Arabidopsis thaliana: one gene and its partner. The protein of the gene in region 1 purifies or fractionates together with the protein of each later gene. This does not show direct contact. Each region holds a gene or a part of one and is shown on either strand. Other genes may lie near its edges.

Region 1 (10,443 bases):
AAACGTATTAACCATTCAACAAAAGAAAGGTCACAAGAACACGTGCTTGCTTGATTCCTCCTCCAAATCTCTTTACATAGATTAAAAAGAAAAAAACCAGTGGAGGAGAATTTCCAGTTATACCGTTGAGACCTTTAGCCTCACTTCTCAAGACAGCTGTTTCATAGCTGTCCGATCTCAATATCTCCCTCCATGTGGCCCTACTCAGAGAGATAAATTAAACACTTTGATCACATCGAATTTATTATGTTCTTTCATAAGATTTTACATAATATATATCTCATGTATATATATATATATCTCTATTTATCTCCTTCATTAATTCTGTTTTTTTACTTCCTTCTATTTATATAACTATCATTTGTTAAACATAGCCATTTTGGTTACTCTTGTTCCGTTTTCTTCTTTCTTCCTCTCCTTCCTTTTTTCTTTTCTCTATCTTCTTCATATGGTTCATGACATTGATCTAATTCCACTTCCCATTTGTCTCCACATTTCGTTTCTTTCCTTTGTTTTTTCATCTAGGTTTTTGGTTTTCTGAATTGGATTTACGTTAGTTTATCTTGTACTTATTAATTAAGGTTTTTTTTTTTTCCTTCCTCAATCCTGTAAATTCAGATTTGCTTTCTTTGGTAATCTTTTGGATCAAGATCCATCTATTTTTTCTTCAATGGCACAACTCCCTCCTAAAATCCCCAACATGACACAACATTGGCCTGATTTCTCTTCCCAAAAGCTCTCTCCTTTCTCTACCCCAACCGCAACCGCTGTCGCCACCGCTACAACCACCGTACAAAACCCCTCATGGGTCGACGAATTCCTCGACTTCTCAGCGTCTCGCCGTGGCAACCACCGTCGTTCCATCAGCGACTCTATCGCATTCCTCGAAGCTCCAACAGTCAGCATCGAAGACCACCAATTCGACAGGTTCGATGACGAACAGTTCATGTCGATGTTCACCGACGACGACAACCTTCATAGCAATCCTTCCCATATCAACAACAAAAATAACAATGTGGGGCCCACGGGATCTTCCTCGAACACATCCACGCCGTCCAATAGCTTCAACGACGATAACAAAGAATTACCACCGTCCGATCATAACATGAACAATAATATCAACAACAACTATAACGATGAAGTCCAAAGCCAATGCAAGATGGAGCCAGAAGATGGTACGGCGTCGAATAACAATTCCGGTGATAGCTCCGGCAACCGGATTCTCGATCCCAAAAGGGTTAAGAGGTAACAAAATTATTCAAGAACATGCATGCACGTAAAAATATCAACTCATCAGATTTGATTACGATGCACCAAATATTTTGAAAAATATGATTACTGAAGATTAGCGTCACATCACTAACCATATAATGTTTTTTAAATTGTTAACAAAAATAAAATAAATATTTCTGAATGTTTCTACAGAATATTAGCAAATCGGCAATCAGCACAGAGATCAAGGGTGAGGAAACTGCAATACATATCAGAGCTCGAACGTAGCGTCACTTCGTTGCAGGTACATTATACAAACATTCATAAATCATAATCTTTTAATTATTCAAATAATTTCATGATTATAAATTTATTATGACCTTAAATCATTTTTGTGGCAAAAAAACTGAAATTAAAGGCGGAAGTGTCAGTGTTATCGCCAAGAGTTGCATTCTTGGATCATCAACGTTTGCTTCTTAACGTTGACAACAGCGCTCTCAAGCAACGAATCGCTGCTTTATCTCAAGACAAGCTTTTCAAAGACGGTATTAATCTCATGTAACTTTTGGATTTAATTCTCATGTAAATTTTTTGGATAATTATGGAATTAATATATGTGTGTTTATGAGATTTTTCATTTTCTCGTCGATGCATTCAATTATCACTGACAATATATGAGCACGCCCAATAATTTTCTCTCACTAGCTAATATAACATCAAAAAACTAATATTATTTTGCAGCACATCAAGAAGCATTGAAGAGAGAAATAGAGAGACTTCGACAAGTGTATAATCAACAAAGCCTCACGAATGTGGAAAATGCAAATCATTTATCGGCGACCGGAGCCGGTGCTACTCCGGCCGTCGACATCAAGTCGTCCGTTGAAACAGAGCAGCTCCTCAATGTCTCATAAATTAACCATCATGCATCATCATCAACATTTCTCTCTTTTAGCTTCTTGGCAAAAGTTCTTGACTATAAAATCTCTTTCGGGTAAGAAATTCAGGAGATATACATTTTTTATTCTAATCACATTGTTTTTAAGTTGTGATGAATTCAGTTTGATGTATCTTATTTATTTTGTTTATGTCGTCTTTTTTTCTTGGGGTTGATGGAAGGGAATCATCAATTGTTGTTTGTACAAAGAACTAGTTGAATTTTTTTTTTTTTTTTTTGGGAAGTGTACAGAGATTTGTGAACTAATTAAGATTTATTCGGAATACAGTAGTTTATTTTCCATCATTGTCTACTCTAAATCATATTTCTTCTCGCATAACATTATATTGATTTTAATAAGACAGATTAAACAAGAACTATGGTTAATTCACTAAAAAAATAGTCTCTATCTCTGATTATTTCTATTCTAAAGTGATCTAGAGTATCAACAAAAATAATTGTTTTGAACGGCTAAAAGTAATCTATAGCTATTAAACGCCTGTTTACACCCTTTTTCTGTCTCAACGGTTTTTAAAAATAGTAGTATCAACATAGGAAAATGTCATTTAACGACATTGAACTATTTTAGGTAATAAAACAACAATATGTTGACGTCATACAGAATCTAGATGGTAAAATCATATGGTACATCCACTCACGTAAGAAAAAGACAAATGAAGAAAGTATACAAAAATGTACTGTGGTCTAAAAATAAAGAAATAAGTAATAGCAGACCAAAACTCTGGGATTTTTAATAATCACTGATATTTGGTAACTTTTGTGATCGTTTATGTTTAGGAGTTACCATGAATAATAGCCGTTTAAGTATATTGTGGTCGATAAGAAAAAGCTTATGCAGTGAAAATGAAAGAAGAGAAAAGAGAAACGCGTGTGGACACATCTTGAAAGGCTTAAGCTTATTCACGTGATGTGTTCCTTGACTGGACCACTACGTTCTTCGTTACATGATTGGTTTTTTGTTTATTTCTCCTAAAAAAGAATTAATATTTATTTTCAAGATTTGGGGTTTTGAGTTTCTTTCAGCAAATGGTATGGTATAGAATTGGACCAATGGTAATAATGATATTTTAATTATTTATTTCATTTTTAAATTAAATTTGGTACCAAATGATGATACAAGGCGGCCACAGTTGAATTTGGTGAAAGAAGAAAAGTAGCAACAAAGAAGCCTTCCAAAGTTAATGGAAATTCACACTAAAGCCATTAGTGTTCTAGTCTGTAATTACTAATCGAATTTTGACCAAACCAGAGAGATGACTGAAATGTAGTTGATGAGAGTAGTGTTCATAAGACGCTTTGATCGCTATTGGCTACATTCGCTGGCTAATTGTCTACAAACCCAAAATAGATTTCAAAAATATCTACCAAAAAACTACAGAGCTACTAAAGATCCGACGTTACTTTATTTTGAGTTCTTGAATCTTCTTCTTGGACTCATGCCGGTTCTGCAAATGCCTACAAAAGAAGAAGCCAGTAAGTATTTGATGACTAGAATCTCAATAGGGACTTATTAAACAAGACTCATGCTCTCTTCTTCCAGTTCAATCGTCCATAGGTTATTTACATAATTGTGTGAGGACAACAATAAGTTAAGAAAGTTTTGAGTCTAAAAGAGAAAAGTACCTTCTCAAGTGTTTGATGTTGCATCAAATCTTGCAGATATAGATTCGCGTCTTGAAATTGTTTCTTTCAAGAGCTTCATCTTATTTTGAAACCCAATCAGCTTCCCGTCAAGCAACTCTACTTTTTTCTTAAGGTTCACTTCATACTCTTTAATCCAGAGACTTCCAACTTCTTTTACTTGTCTCTCTATTAGAACTCGTCTCATCCCCTCTTCTTTTTCTTCTTTCAATCTTAGCTTCTCGATTTCAGCAGTGCTCAATACTAAACCTCCAGTACCTTTAACATCTATGTATATCGGTTTATCAAGCAAAGGGCAAACTTTCCTGTGCTTTCTACATGCCTTCTGTGATTCTTTTAAAGCTTTCTGGTACCAGGCTAATACACTTGTCATCATACGAAGTTCATTTTCAAGCTTATAGATCTCTACGTTCTTCTTGTGTAGCTCTTCATAACTTTCTTTGTGCAATTGCTGAATTATGTCTTCCCTCCTTTGCAGTTCATTTTGCAACATTTGTTCCCTCATGTTCGATTCTCCACAAGCTTGGTCTTTCTCGACATATGATAACTTAGCCTTATCTGCCAAGTGCTTAATCTGCTCCATGCAAATGTCAAAAGGAACTGGCTTGTCATCCCAAGATGGTGTCTTCAACCTCTTAGTACTAGCAGGGTTATCAAAATGGTATGAAATATCATTCTCGTGACCAAACTCTCTCTTGTTATCATTCCCAAAATGAGAACGACCTGGAACCATATGCATGACAGCTCTAGGTGCCAGGAAATCACAAGTAGAACTGCCATGAACCTGTAGCCCAGAATTATAACCTAATGTAGATGTATCTCCCAACATCAGATTTTCCTGGTGTAGTGTTTTACCGTTCCGAAACAATAAAAACCCTCCTTCTTGCTTTTCTCCATCTTTCTCAATTTCATCTTCAAGTATCTCATTCTCTCCCACTTTCCTATGTCTTGTTCCGTTCTTTTCATCTCCTACAGTAGCACAACCAACATCACACCCCTGAAAAAAATGTGAGCCAACATGGCTGTCTCCATTCCATTTCATCTCCTTCTTCCTTGGCTTCCTTAAGATCCATTGGTTGTTCCTTGTTTTCCTCAAGATCAATTGCTTGTTCCTCATGATAAAGCTCCATCGTAGCAGCCATTTCGGACACAATCACTTGCCCAAGATTCAGTTTGGTCGTACTTTCCTCCACACAGTTTTCTTTCTTTGAGTCAGTGGCTCCATCATCCATTCCTAGATTCAAAGCAGCAATATCATCCTTTACCTTCAAATCCCTCTCCTTAAACAGATCTATTTTCTGTGATCTAATGACCATCTGCAAATGCGACGCATAGAAACAATCCCCGAGTGGAGGCTCCGCTTTCAACTCTTTCTCAACCATAAACCACATCAGTCCAGCCCAGTCCAGCTTATCCAATTGCTTTTTCTTTATACCTTTCATCCATTCCACCACTTCATCTGGCATCATCCACGCATCATCACAATGCAGTAGCATCCAATTAGAGATAACATCTTCAACAACACTGATTGATTCATCTGATTCCAGAAATTCCTTATCCTCATCAAGAATGACAACACGTTCTTTCTTATTAGGCAACTTCAAAGATCGAGCCAAATCCGCACGACTAAGTTTAATCCTAGACCCGTTTATATAGCTGCACTTACCTCCAGCACTATAGGAAGCTATAAGTTGAGCCACAAGATCATAATCCATATCCTGATCAAATTCCAAATGCACAAAATCCCACAATCCGAGAGTCTTTAAGAGACTCTCATAACAAGCAAAATCTAGGGTTTTTAATGGCTTGAAAGGTACAAGCTTTAATGTTTCAACAAGTACCTTGAGCTTCTTCTTAGACTTCTCTTCTTGCTGCTTACGTTTCTTATCGTTACATTTCTTCCGCTTTGGCCCACCACCGTGACAACTAAAAGAAAAGCTCATGGCTTTTGAATCCAGAATATCAATCTCGTCTTCCTCACTCAACTGTTTCTGATCACTACCGTTCTCCTGCGATTTCCTCATTTCGTCCGACACTGACTCTAAAATTCTGATTTTGTTCGGAACAGAATGTGTCTCTGAAGCTTCAGAGACTTCTTCCTCCAAAGTAGCTTGCTTAATCAGGTTTCTTAAAATAGTTACTGTATCTTGCTCTCGAGATGCAAAAGGATTCGCCGGAGGATCCATGACTGGGTTTTGTTTTCCGATCTCCTCCTCTTTCAGAAATTGAAAAGGTTAAGGAGCTAAAGAGTCTTTTTGTTTACTAATTAACCATAATTAATATGCTCCGTCATCAAAAACAGAGCAGCTAAAAACACTTCATTAGAGGCCCATATGTATATGGGCCGGAGTTTAATACGGCCCAAATCAGTATAACCGAGTTCAATAACCGGTAAGAATTAAAATATTTTACATTATTCACCCAAATCTTTACATTAATCACAACAAACTCCAACATCTATTCGACTCTTTCAAATTCACACTCTTCCTCCTCTTCGAAATCTCCGAGTACAAAATCGATCAATCTCTCGGAAAATGATCGTGTATTCTCTCTCTCAGCCTCACTGCTTCCTAATGAATCTCTCTATTTCTCCTCATTACGGTTGCTGCTACTGCGGAGTTTGGTGGGGAGGTATTAGAGACGGAGCTTTGGTGCGTGGCGAAGAACAACGTTGAGGATTCAACACTTTAAACGGCCATTGACTGGGCTTGTGGTCCCAGAGGAGCTGATTGCGTCTAGATTCAGCAAGGTGGATCCTGCTACGATCCATTGGATATAGTGAAGATGGCTTCGTATGTATTCAATAACTATTATCTGATGGAATGGTCTCGCAGATGAAGCTTGCAACTTTAGTAACAACGCAGCTGTTACTTCTCTCAATCCTAGTAAGTTCACATTTTCTTTCAGGATCAATGTCTAGCAGATAGTTATGACTTTTGCTAATTGAAAATGTTGAAAGTTTGATGCTTTTTCTGCAATTTTTCGTTTTCAGGTCAAGGAACATGCAAGTTTCCTTCAAGGTAATTAAGTAATCCACATTTGTATTGCCAATTAGCGTTTGTGTGTGTGTCTCATTTATAGTCTGTTTGGAGCAATTTTGATCCATCATAGGTTCTTTTAGAAAATGATTTCTAGTTTGATGGGTTTTGAACTTTTGAGTGAAATGAAATCTTTTTTTTGTTTTTTTCATTAGCTTCTGGCTTAGAAGGATGAAGTTACTTCACTTCTCCTCGACAATTGATTTTGATCTTGGTGATTATATTGTTCATATTATCAATATGATGCAGTTACTGCAGAACATAGAAGAAGTTTCAAAAACTATTAAAGCAATTTTTTTGAAAATGTTCTCATTCTCCATGAGGCTTCGTTTCATTGAGTATAGTAATAGTTACACTCATGCTGTTGAAATCTGGTGTGCAGTAAGGGAGTGAGCAATGGAAGTATCGCAGATGCCACTTCAATGCAGGGAGCAACTGCACCAGAATTCTCAGATTGAGCCGAGCAAGGCGGATGTTTAGCAGCTGGTTGTCACCCTTCGTCATTTTAGGCCACATTGTGACAATGACACTGATTATCCAACAGGTTTAGCTTCCGATTGGTGATTGAAGGTAACCCTTTTATGATCTCTCTTCTCCCTCAGTTTTATGTAACTAAAATGGTTCTGCATCTTTTATGGAGCCCTGATATGTACTGTCTACCACTGTGAATAGTTAACTTGAATGGCATGAACTGCACCAGATGTATCTTTTGACTAACATATATTTAGTGTTCCGTTACACAAAACTATCTAAAACCAAAAACAGAGCATGATATAGTAAAAAAGAAAGGAGGATATTGTATAAATTAAAGATTATCGATATGTGTATATGATTTATATGCATAATATGTATCTATATGTCGACTCAATGTCTCTCAAGATCTGCCACACGATCTTGGTCAGGACAAGAATGGTTGATCCTGTTCGAAGATCTTTCCCTCGTCAAGATTTTCCTAAACGAATTTAATCGCGAAGCCGGGGATACAACTGTTTTGTTATCTGAGGAAGAAGAGGATGCGGCTTCTACAGTCAAGTTCAGCCTGGTTTCCACCAACAACTGCGGTGCAGTACCGACTGGTCCTTCCCTTGGCTCAGGCTCAAGTCTCGGTCTTGGCTCAACTTCAGTCCGACAAACAGGACAAGTGGAGCAAGTGGTGAGCCACGTGTCAACACAGTCGACGTGGAAGATGTGCTTGCAGTTGGGCAACTCTCTCGCCTTGTCTTGCTCCTTTAACACGCTTAGACACACTGCGCATTCAGTAGCGGAGGCAGCCACGCCATCAGTGGCTCCAACAGTGAAAGTAGGGAGAGAAGCGATGACTGTGGGATTGAGGCCACGCTTAGGCATCTCAAAAGGGTGGCGGAAAATGACGGGGAGGCCACGGAAAGCTTCTCTACGGCGTCGGAGAACGAATCTTGCGTAAAGATGAAGAGCGAAGACGATGAGGATAACTCCAGATAAAGAAGCCACTGCGGCAAGCATGATCTTGCTGTTAAGATCGTAAGTAGACGGATTAGGCCAGAATGAGTGGTGGTCAGAGTTGAACCTGCGATGATCTCTGTCGTTGGAGCTCATTGTGAAGCTGGTTTTTCTTCGGTGGATGCAAAAGAAAAGTGAACAAAAGAGTTTACTAACTTATGATTTATTATATAAGGAATAAAGGACTTATAGAATTTCTTATTTTGATTGTTTTTCCAAGGCTTATACTTTAGTTGGTGGGTGGAGAAAAATGTGAAGTAGATAGAATTAGAAACTTTGGGAGATAGGTAGACTTTCACGAGGGTTTAGAAATTTCACCATTGTTGACTAAATGGTAGATTGTAGATTATTTATAGGTGATAGGTTTGAAGATTATAGACTGTATATATAAAGAGTGGAAAATATCAAAATCCTACGTAAAAAATTTGTGGACTGAATTTGCCTATTATGATTTCACGGTATTAGGAGTTAACTCGCATATATAGACTGAATTGTCTACCATCATTTCAGTGTATCAAGAGTTAGTTAGTCTCATATGCTGCAAATAGTATGGTGCAAATTGGTTTATCCAAGTAGATATATATAGATAAATTCATCTCTAAACATAGAATGTTAGAGTTACATATGATACTGCTATCAAAATTTTAAAATATGATAATACAATTTATTTTGTCAACAAAAAATGATAATATATATAGTCAAGAAAATACGAAAATTAAAGGTTAAAACGTGTGAGCCTGTGAGGATACGTGTGGGAACCACAAAGTTTGACTTGAAGAAGAGTCGTCTATGTAGGGCACACACGCATTAGATATACCTTAATAACAAAATTGTCTCGATTGTATGTTACAAGTTCAACTTTCTTTTTTTCTTTTCCCCTTTTCACACGTTAAGCAATAAGCAACAATGTTTTTGTAATTACTGTAACATACAAAAAGTGTGCCATTCATATTTACACATACAAAAGATTTCAGTACAAGAATAAAAAGTTAAAAGGAAGAAGAAGTATTATGGTTCATGAATTAAGGATTAATTATGGATGCATGTGTGTTTATACTTTTTTTTTTTTAACCGGCGTATGTGTGTATATACTATATACTGAATTCACTGTCTTTCAATATCCAATTCACGATCTTGGTCAACGCGAGAATGATCCCGCCTGTTCGAAGATCTTTCCCTTGTCAAAATCCTCCGGAACGAGTCTAACCTCGAAACCGATGATCCGCCGGTTTTGTTATCAACCCCCGCGAAATCTAACGGCGGTGCAAAGTCGCCAACTGGCCCTTCCCTAGGCTCAGGCTCAAGCCTTGGATGACTTGGCTCGGCTTCAGTTCGACAAACGGGACAAGTGGACTGCGTGGTGAGCCACGTGTCAACGCAAGACACGTGGAACACGTGTTTGCAGTTCGGTAACATCCTTGCATTATCTTTCTCCTCCAATAAGCTTAGACAAACCGCACATTCCGTACCCGCCACGTCATTCTTGATTCCAACCACGAACGTTGGGAGAGAAGCGATGACTAGAGAATCGAGGCCACGTTTTGGCGGCTGAGAAACGACAGAGAAGGAGAGGTCTTGGAAGGCTGATCTACGGTGGAGAACGAATTTTGCGTAGAGATAATAAACGAACACGATGATGATAATAATAGAGAAGGAAACGGTGGTGACGAGGAAAATCTTGCTGCTGGCATCGTAAGAAGTCGAGTTTTGCCAGAAAGAACGGTCGTCGGAATCATCAGTTTTGTTGTTAGAGCTCATGATGAAGCGTTTTGTTTTGGTAGAACAAGAGACAGAAAGTGGTTACTATAATCTAATAACAAGTTACTAATAGATTGAATGGATCTCATGTTGTGTAATTAAATTGTTTTTTATTATTTTTTCTACTTTTGTTTATTCTTCATAGCTATTACTTGGATTCAAGGGACATACAATATGATTGGTGGGTGTGAGAAAATAGGCAGCAGAATACTCATAAATTTTCGAAGGAAATTGTTGACTTTACTCGGATTTGTTATCATTTTCTTAATTTTAAATTAAACTTTGGAAATTCAAAAAATAATAATATAGGATTGCAATATTCTTTATACCGTAATACATAACATGTCGACAGTGTAT
Region 2 (9,880 bases), on another chromosome or scaffold:
ATTTGGATATTTTATTGCTTTGCATTCATTCTTTCCCTCACATACTTGTCTCTGTAAAGGTCTACCCCGGACAGCGTGCTGGTGGAGTTGAGGCTGACATGATGGCAGCAAACGAGCTTAATGCACACTCTTTTCTCCAGGTTGGATAAATAGCCATGCAAAAATGCTAAATAGATTCTTAGCAATTACATCTCCTTGGTGGCTAATAGTGAAATCAACTTGTTATTCTGCTTGTCTATACAGAGCAAAAGCCTGCCTGCTAATCTGCTTCTACTTGTTGGTGGCTTTGAGACACAACTTGGGGAACAGGTCAGGCTTACAATATGTGGCACTGTAGTTTGTTGAATCTAAGCTGCACTAGTTTGTGGATATTTTGGCATACCTTATGGAACATAGGCTGAGTCAATTCATTCTTACAGTGGCTGGCTTTTCGTGATGGTGGGAAAGATAGTGCAGCTGACTACGCGCAAACTGCGAGTGAAAAAACAACCAGAGCTCGCTCCCAAGGAGTATGGAATCCTTATGAAAAAGAGCAGATGATAAAACGAAGGAGAAACTTTGTTATTAAGATCCTTCAGGGTGCAATGAAGGGTCTAGCCTTTATGCATGATAATGACAGGTTACATCAAAGCCTCGGGCCATCCTCAATTGTTCTCAAGTATGTTCCCCCATGAGCACGTGAAAGTGATAGCATACACACCTCACTCTTAATATAAATGCCTCATGACTCTACTAATTCAGTCGATTTTTCTCTCTGGTGAAATTATCCTTAGTACACCAGCGGAACGAGAAGCCATCTATTTAATACCGAGGCTGCGAGATCTAGCCTTTTCTGTTGACATAAGGTTCCCTTACTCTTCTCATCTCTTCCTGATTGATTATTTTATCCTCAGCTATAGTAGTTTTTTTTTTTAATTCGCCATTTTGGTCTTGCTGTTTATAACTGGAACTAGCATTGTGAAGATAATGTTGGTGCTTTTTATCAACTCTCTGTTAATAGACTGAGCATACCTTACAGGCCTTCATGCTTGGAAGAAGGAGCCACTTCTGGTTCACTGTCAGAGCAACTTTGGCGAAGGGCAAATGCTGCTGGTGCTTACACAGTTTTTGAGAAAAGAGCTTTTGGGATTGCAGATGACATGTAGTGCTTTTTCCTTCTTAGTCTTTCATCTTTTAAGTTGCAAATGTTCTTTGATAAAGGTTTAACACATTCTTGCGGTTTACAGATATGAAGCCGGTCTTCTTTTTGCATACTTAGCATTTGTTCCATTCTGTGAAGCAGGCGTAACGGATTCTCTTTCTCTTCAGGCAAGAAAGAACACAAGATCTCCTTTTAATCCAACAAATGTAGCAGCTCTGTTCTTTAAACAGTTTTTTGTTTAACCGCAATTTAATCTGCTGAACTGCAGAGGCTACTGGAAAACACTTTCCGGCTGGATATCGAGGCTGTAAGAGAGTAAGCCTCTTGCTACCTCCAGATTAACTAACATTCTCTATTGTCATAACTTTCTTGTGTTAAAACTTAAAACGCATATAAATTGCATTTCATTTTAGCAGCACAAAAAGAACCGTTGTATTCAATTAACCGATTAATACTCCAAGTTACTGTGTGTTTGAAAGACCTCACTAATTTTTTATACAGGTACTGTTTAGCTGATGAACGCCTCGAAGAAGCGGTAAAGTTTCTGGATCTTGGTGATAGAGCTGGTTGGGAATTGCTCCAGGTATCTAGTCATTCCAATTTTCTCTGCATCGTGGTTCACAGTAAAAAAAAAAGTTAAATAACTGAACTCTGATCAAAGTTAAATGGAAACGGTAATGAAAAGAAAATATCGAGAAGCATGGAGGAGAAATGCTGAGAACGCTTATGATAGAGTCAACTGATTTCATGTTTGGAAAGTTTTGGTAATTTGACCAATAATGTCTCTGCGTGTGGTGTTTTGGTAGGCAATGTTGAACGCTGACTATAGGAAGCGGCCAATGGCGGAAGCTGTTCTTAGTCATCGATTTTTGAATGGCGTAGTTTAAATGAGAAGAGACGAAGATTATGTATTTACGTAATTATCTACAACTATTAATCCTTGATCCATGTTCTGAACATATAATCATATATCGTGGGTTCCCAAAATATGATATTGAATCTGCTCATCCTGCACTAGCTATACTAAGATTGTTTTGTTGTCACTAAACTAAACAATAGAATGTCGTCAAAAGTAAAAGAATGATGAAGATGCGCACGTGCTTGTTAGTCGCAAGGCACGTGAGATGATCCGAAGAAGAATCAAAGATGCTTCGCTTGAAGCCATAACGATGTGTGGGGAAGACGGCAAAGCAATCAAGCAAATACTTTTCCTTCCTCTTCTTCTCCAAAAGTCGTTTGTTTTCACATTTCTTTCGATTCCCACTTGACTCTCCGAGAAACCTTTGCAGATCAACAAACCCATCTTCTGATTCTGGAAACCCTAACCCACCCGGTTCCGATTCAGACAAACGGGTCGGAGACCGATTTTGATCTCGAACTCGATTCTTTCTCAGATGAAAGTATCAAAAATTGAGAATTTGAGGTTGTTTGAGTCTTAATCATCTCGATCAATGTCGCGTTTTCCCCGTGGATTTGTGGAGAATTCATCAATGGAGGAACCCAAAATCGCTCGTCGTCCAACTATTTGCTTCAGACCAATAAACCCTTCTGATTTAGAACGTTTGGAGCAAATCCATCGTGACATATTCCCAATCAGGTAAATAAATACCTTTGTTTTGGAAAGAATTTATATGTGATCTGGTTTTGGGATTTGACTTTCCGTTTTTTGGAAGTGTCTTATCAAAGCATTTGATTTTGTTCAGGTATGAGTCTGAGTTTTTTCAGAATGTTGTCAACGGAGGTGATATTGTCTCTTGGGCTGCTGTTGATCGGAGTCGCCCTGATGGTCATTCTGAGGAACTTATTGGATTTGTTACTGCCAAAATCGTACTTGCCAAAGAAAGCGAAGTGAGTTGCTTTGTGTTTTGTTCAAGTGTCTTCCTTTTTCATCGTCTTGTTCAAGTGTAGATTTCAAATGTCCGAAATGGGTTTCTTTCCACTGGAGAAAATAAAGCTTCAATTTGTAACGTTTCAAGTTATTTTTGAAGCTTGTTTTGAATGGTTTTTGGGTTTTGTAAAGAAGATGCAATGTCTTGTAAAGTGAAAATTTTGAATGTTTGAAACATTTTCTTAAAAATTTCTTAAAAATATAAACTTTCTACAATTTCAACAGCTTTTTCTAAGCTTTTAAGTTTTGGTTGGAGCTTCTTCAGTAGTAAAACATTGTCTTCTCTTTGTTCTTCGCCTTTTGGGTTTTGGTTCTGAAATTTCGAAATAACTTTATACAGCAAGTAACAAGTAATTGTGAAGTGTAGATTTTGAATGTTGTTGAACCATTTCACAATGTCTAATGGTTTAAGCGTGAATTTTAAAGCCATGTACATTAGATGGGTTTCTTACGAAAGTTCTAGAAAATCAAAAAGAGCCAGCCACTTTATTAACATCTTGATTATGATCCAAACTTGTTTTGTACTTGTTCGTTTAATGTTAAGAGTCATCAATGGCTGTTTCTTGGGTAATATGTTGATAGATTTTCTATGTCTTGTACAGATATCAGATCTAATAAGATATGACTCGTCGAAGGGAGAGGGGACATTGGTGTACATCCTAACACTTGGAGTTGTAGAAACATACAGAAAACGTGGAATCGGTATTGATTCTGACCCCATGTAGTAAACCAATGATATGGATATTTTGTTGATGGCTTGATGCTTCTCTTCTATTGCTTGGTTTTGTTAATATTAAGTTCTGCAACTTTTTTGTGCAGCTAAGGCACTTATTAACGAGGTCGTCAAATACTCTTCTGGTATCCCTGTGTGCCGTGGTGTTTACCTTCACGTGATTGCACACAACAATCCCGCAATCCGGTTGTACAAAAGAATGTCTTTCAGATGTGTAAGGAGGTTACACGGATTCTACTTAATCAACGGCCAGCATTTCGATTCTTACTTGTTCGTCTACTTTATCAACGGTTCTCGCTCTCCTTGCTCACCCTTGTATGTACAAAACACAAGTATTTTTTGCATTCTAAATTCTGTTTGCTGTGATGTTTCTTTGCGGTTTCTTCATAGATGGGGTTATCGCTGAATCATGGCTGCATTGCAGAGATCTTGCGGTGTTGGTTCTGAATTATATGAGGAGCGGAATCAAATCTTTCGCATCAAAGCTGACGGTGAACCACGATGAGAAAGGCTCGAAATGGCTTAAAAGCAAAGACAACACGCGGTGTCTCTTGCCCACTCAGACTAAACGAAACCTTGCATCGGAAAGAGTATCATCCGGGTATGATTACGTATAGTGTCCGTCTCCCATTCATAGACTTTGTAAAATCATTCATTTTAATGTCTTCCATTAAGCTCTGGTTGTGATCCTATTGTGTGTGTTCGTGTAGAATAATAATGTGATAAAAATGTAAATATTGTGATGTGATAGTTGAAGACAACTCTTTGGGACGGAGGGTTCAATCCACTGTTAGTCTTATTGTCTTAAATTAGTTAGCTTGTTGAAAAAATTAGCTTTGTGCTTTATGGCGTGAAAACTAGCATAAGCTCATATAATTTACTTAAAATTACAAAAACAAACCCCAATACTTTTTTCGAGAAACCAGATCCTTCTTCAATTCTGATCATGAACAGCTTTTGGCTCTAATTGGGGCTAATTCACATGACATGGAATTAACTAGAGATGTTTAAACAGATTTAAAAAAAAAAAAACAAACCAGACCAATTTTCTGGGTTAGTAACAAATTTCAGTTCACCACTGTGAATGCTTAAATTGTAATTTAAAAAACAATAGGGATTAGGTATATAATAAATGAAAGTTAACGAGCAAACTGTGAAGAACGAGGGAAAGGGGAAGAAGGAACGGAAACATAGAATTAGGGTTCACAGTGCATCAGAGAATCATAATTTCTCTGTTTCGGATTTTTAATCGTACAAGAGGTGAATTGATATTGGGTTCGGTTCGGTTCAAGTAAGTTAAATATTCTCTTTTTCGCCGATTATTTATTGGGTCAATCTCACTATAATTTCGGTTCACTGAAAATTTGAGAAACAGAAGTTGTCCTATAACGATTTTGACGATGAGAAGAATAAATCGAATTCTATGAAACTTTTGCTTAATTACTAGTTCGAATGTTATGAATTCCCGTGAATGAGTATTCAAAAAGGACCTTAGTGTGTTCTCATTGTTTTGAGCAGTTTTTAGCTTACATAGATTTATTTGTTTGGTTTAAGATAATGCTTTGTCAGAATTATGCGAAGCCTAGCCTAGCTTATTATGAATTGTGTTTGTTCTGCAGATTTGAATAATATTAGACTCTAGTAGTTAAGATGTCAGTGAGAGCTAGGAGGATTGTTTCGGGTAGATCAGAGACTGTAGCAGCTAATTATGCTTTCGATCCGTTACATGATGACAAAATTATAAGAAATAGGCTTCTCACACGCACGACCACCACCAGAGGCGAACCTCCATTGAAGAAGCTTCAGAAGAAATTCACTTCTTTTGTTATTGAACTAGACAAAGAAGAAGATAACTACAGTGAGTGTGGTAGGCTCGCGAAAGCTTTCTTGCAAGAACTCTCTGCGTTTGAGATTCCGCTTCTTAAGAGCCAAGTAGTTGTCGCTGCAAATCTTAGGGAGAAAGAGAACTTTAACGAGCTTAAAGATGAGACGAATAGGCAGATAATGCAGGCACAAGCTGATATAGAAGATCTTAAGAAACAGCTTGAGGAGAGTAAGATAGAGAGACAACAGAAAGAGGAGTGTGAAGCCATTAGGAAACTTATCTCTGCGCAGCCACCGAGGTCAGAGACGCAGAAGGTTATACATGAATTGAAGAAGGAGATTGCAGAACTCGAGGCTGAGAATACAGCAAGTTGGAGACTTCTTGAACTAAGGAAGAAGCAGTTTGCATTGTTGTTGCATGTGGTATGTCGATTTTACGGGTTTCGTTGTGTTTTTATAGCTAAGATTCTAAACAAGATTTCGCCTTTCTCGTGTTTCTTTATGTTTACAGCTAAATCCTAACCTTTTTGGTTTTGTGAAAACTTTTATGTATAGGTGGATGAGTTGCAGGAGACAATGGAGGATGAACAGAAGAGTATGGTGGAAGAAATGCAGAGGAACATTACCGCTGATGGCGCTGAAGCCATGTCCATCGATTAGCTCCTAATCTTAGCAACTTTGTCTTCCTCTTGAATGCTAAAGAAACAAACCTTTCATTGATAAGAAGAATCTGTTTTATAAATTTCTGGTTTCTTCTGGTTGCCTCATAACCAAAATTGCTATGAAAATAAGGATATGTATGTTTCATTTTAACTCGCAGATTCAAAAAAAATAATGGCAGATCTTCTCGAGGTTTTGAGGACTATGTGAACCGGAAAGGTCAGGAGAAAGTGATTTATTTGACTAAACCAAGTTTGGTAATGATTCATCAGGAAAATAACCGGTCCAGAAAATTCAACCGACTAAGATTTATTCCCGTACCAAAGAATTTGCTTTTAAACCGGACTAATATATATACAGTACACGTATATCTTCTCTATTTTGCAAAATCGTTCTCCTCTCTTCGCCACCAGAGAGTCTCTCCGTCTCTTTCCACGGCGAGTTTGCGATCGTCCGCGGTTTGCTGTTTGTCGTCATCTCTCTCGTTTGAAGCATTCTTTTCTAAATTCTTCGCAGTTGCTAGGTCTTTATCTTCTAAACCTTACTATTCGTCGGTGTGCTTTCGCAATTTATCTCTAAACCCTCGGAAATTTCTCCTGCAATTCTGAGCTCTTTGTTCGTCGATCCGAATATTCAGTACTTTCCATTGAAGGTTTGATCTAGAGGTAATTCGAATCGGAATTTGATCAACCTTTGTTTTCTTTGATATTTCGTTTCAGATGTTTGCTTCTTCTTTTTTCCGATGAATTTCGAATCGCTTGACCTTGTTCCGTTTTCCGTTTATCCTCCAAAGTCTGAATATGTTTATAGCTAGCTAGATTCAGGATTTGATTTTACCTTATTTCCCCAATAATAATGAAATCCTTCTTAGGTTAGGGTTTTTGTGTTTTTGTGTTTTGTCACTAGTTTTGAAACCGAAAATTGTCATCAAGTGTGCAAGTACTTTGTCAGAGTAATGCCAATATAATAGTTTTGTTATTCTCATCTTGCTCGGCTGTAGTTTTGCTACCATTGTAATTGTTGTTACTGAGTAACTCCTTTTTCTGTGGTTAGGTCTTGACTAAAGTTCTTGAAAATGGAAGTGGAGAAGTCTAAATCAAGGCATGAAATCAGGGAAGAGAGGGCTGACTACGAGGGTTCGCCTGTTAGAGAACACAGAGATGGAAGGAGGAAAGAGAAGGATCATAGGAGCAAGGATAAAGAAAAGGACTATGATCGAGAAAAGATCAGGGATAAGGACCACCGCAGGGATAAGGAGAAAGAGAGAGACCGAAAAAGAAGTAGAGATGAGGACACTGAGAAGGAGATCTCTAGAGGTAGAGATAAAGAGAGGGAGAAAGATAAGAGTAGAGATCGGGTTAAAGAAAAGGACAAGGAAAAGGAAAGAAATAGACATAAAGATAGAGAAAATGAGAGGGATAACGAGAAGGAAAAAGACAAGGATAGGGCAAGAGTCAAGGAGAGAGCGAGTAAGAAAAGTCATGAAGATGATGACGAGACTCATAAAGCTGCAGAAAGATATGAACATTCTGACAACAGAGGTCTGAATGAAGGTGGCGATAATGTTGATGCTGCATCAAGTGGGAAAGAAGCATCTGCGTTGGACCTTCAGAATCGCATTTTGAAGTAAGTGATTCTCATATGTTATATGAAATCTAGAATTATAGGTAGTACAGGAATTAAAAGTTTGTGTTTTCTTCCTTAGGATGAGAGAGGAAAGAAAGAAGAAAGCTGAAGATGCTTCTGATGCTCTATCATGGGTTGCAAGGAGCCGTAAGATTGAGGAAAAACGAAATGCTGAGAAGCAAAGAGCACAGCAGCTCTCGAGAATTTTTGAGGAGCAGGTATTACCTCCATTCCTTGAACATCTTATATCCTTTTATTTCTTCATAACTTCCTTTTATCTGACATTTTAATAAATATATCTTATCTCATATTTGTTCAGGACAATCTTAATCAAGGTGAAAATGAAGATGGCGAGGATGGCGGTATGTTTTCGTTTCTAGTTCTTTTACCCCTAACTTTAACTCTTCAAAGGAAGTAATCATGTATTCTGTCATACCATAGAATTTCTTTTTCTATCTTCCTTTCTAAATGTGATGCTCTCTGATTGATAATTTATCTTGACATATTCTGGTTAACAGAGCATCTATCTGGTGTTAAAGTTCTACATGGTTTGGAGAAAGTGGTGGAAGGTGGAGCAGTTATCTTGACACTAAAAGACCAAAGTGTCCTTACCGATGGAGACGTTAACAATGGTTAGTATCTTTTTGTGCTATCTTTTATTTATGCTATCAGCATTGTTGATGTTAGGCTCTGTCATAATGAGATTTTCAACTATTCTTGCAGAGATTGACATGCTAGAAAATGTGGAAATTGGAGAACAGAAGCGCCGGAATGAAGCTTATGAAGCAGCCAAGAAGAAAAAGGGAATATACGATGATAAGTAAGTTTAAGTATTGTTCAAAGGCATTTAGATGAGCATATCTGTGTTGCTTAAGACTGAAACATGGCATTATATTTATTTTATAGGTTTAATGATGATCCCGGGGCAGAAAAGAAGATGCTTCCTCAGTACGATGAGGCTGCTACTGATGAGGTAAGTTACTCTGTCTAGCGGATTTTTCAAATACCATAATTATAGGCACTTCTTTGGAGGGAATTAATGTTATTGCTTTTGCTTTAGGGGATCTTTTTGGATGCAAAGGGTCGCTTCACCGGTGAAGCTGAGAAGAAGCTAGAGGAGGTACTATTCTTCCTAACATTCTGTCATATTAAATGGATCGTAGTAAGTATACACACTAACGGAATTATTTTCTTTCATGTTCTACCGATCAGCTGCGTAAGAGAATTCAGGGTCAGACGACACATACTTTTGAAGACCTTAACTCCTCAGCAAAGGTCTCTTCAGATTACTTCTCACAGGAAGAAATGCTAAAATTCAAAAAACCCAAGAAAAAGAAACAATTGCGTAAAAAGGATAAATTGGACTTAAGTATGCTTGAAGCAGAAGCTGTTGCATCGGGATTGGGAGCTGAAGATCTTGGTTCTCGTAAAGATGGCAGAAGGCAGGCCATGAAAGAAGAGAAAGAAAGGATCGAGTATGAAAAACGGAGCAATGCCTATCAGGAAGCCATTGCTAAAGCTGATGAGGCATCCAGGCTACTTAGAAGGGAACAAGTTCAGCCTTTTAAAAGAGATGAAGATGAGAGTATGGTGTTGGCTGATGATGCTGAAGATCTTTACAAATCGTTAGAGAAAGCTAGGAGGCTAGCTCTCATTAAGAAAGAGGAAGCTGGATCTGGTCCACAGGCAGTTGCGCATCTTGTGGCTTCCAGCACCAATCAAACAACAGATGATAATACCACCACCGGGGATGAGACACAAGAAAATACAGTGGTTTTTACAGAGATGGGAGACTTTGTCTGGGGTCTCCAGCGCGAGAACGGTAAAGTTTAAATCATCTTCTGACACAGTTACACTGTTATTTATGTTTTGCTCTATTATATTGATCTGCTATAGCACTTCCTACGTTATTTGGAACATTTATTTGGTGTCATATGATATGACATATATGGACATTCTCTCTCACACACATGCTTGGGGCTAACTTGTCTGCAAATAGTTTGTAGCT

Evidence for each region.
Region 2: the proteins of AT2G42370 (region 1) and THO7 fractionate together in Arabidopsis thaliana (co-fractionation; one large-scale study listed by BioGRID). This does not show direct contact.

The regions. Positions count from the first base shown.
Region 1 is NC_003071.7:17,638,888-17,649,330, reverse strand, and holds AT2G42370 (uncharacterized protein), read right to left. Parts: upstream 5,998-10,443; coding exon 4,830-5,997; exon of another isoform or gene 4,778-4,829; coding exon 3,798-4,777; downstream 1-3,797. Other genes in the region: BZIP34 (Basic-leucine zipper (bZIP) transcription factor family protein), read left to right, coding at 671-1,245, 1,426-1,516, 1,631-1,757, 1,954-2,126; AT2G42360 (RING/U-box superfamily protein), read right to left, coding at 7,714-8,424; AT2G42350 (RING/U-box superfamily protein), read right to left, coding at 9,433-10,086.
Region 2 is NC_003076.8:5,519,008-5,528,887, reverse strand, and holds THO7 (Tho complex subunit 7/Mft1p), read left to right. Parts: upstream 1-4,876; 5' UTR 4,877-5,053; exon of another isoform or gene 5,054-5,381; 5' UTR 5,382-5,412; coding exon 5,413-6,009; intron 6,010-6,141; coding exon 6,142-6,246; 3' UTR 6,247-6,471; downstream 6,472-9,880. Other genes in the region: AT5G16810 (Protein kinase superfamily protein), read left to right, coding at 60-140, 244-309, 420-658, 774-845, 1,019-1,141, 1,227-1,308, 1,410-1,456, 1,643-1,724 and 1 more; AT5G16800 (Acyl-CoA N-acyltransferases (NAT) superfamily protein), read left to right, coding at 2,593-2,738, 2,845-2,989, 3,632-3,731, 3,849-4,052, 4,153-4,379; DOT2 (SART-1 family), read left to right, coding at 7,322-7,872, 7,952-8,090, 8,192-8,234, 8,391-8,504, 8,596-8,692, 8,779-8,845, 8,933-8,992, 9,085-9,694.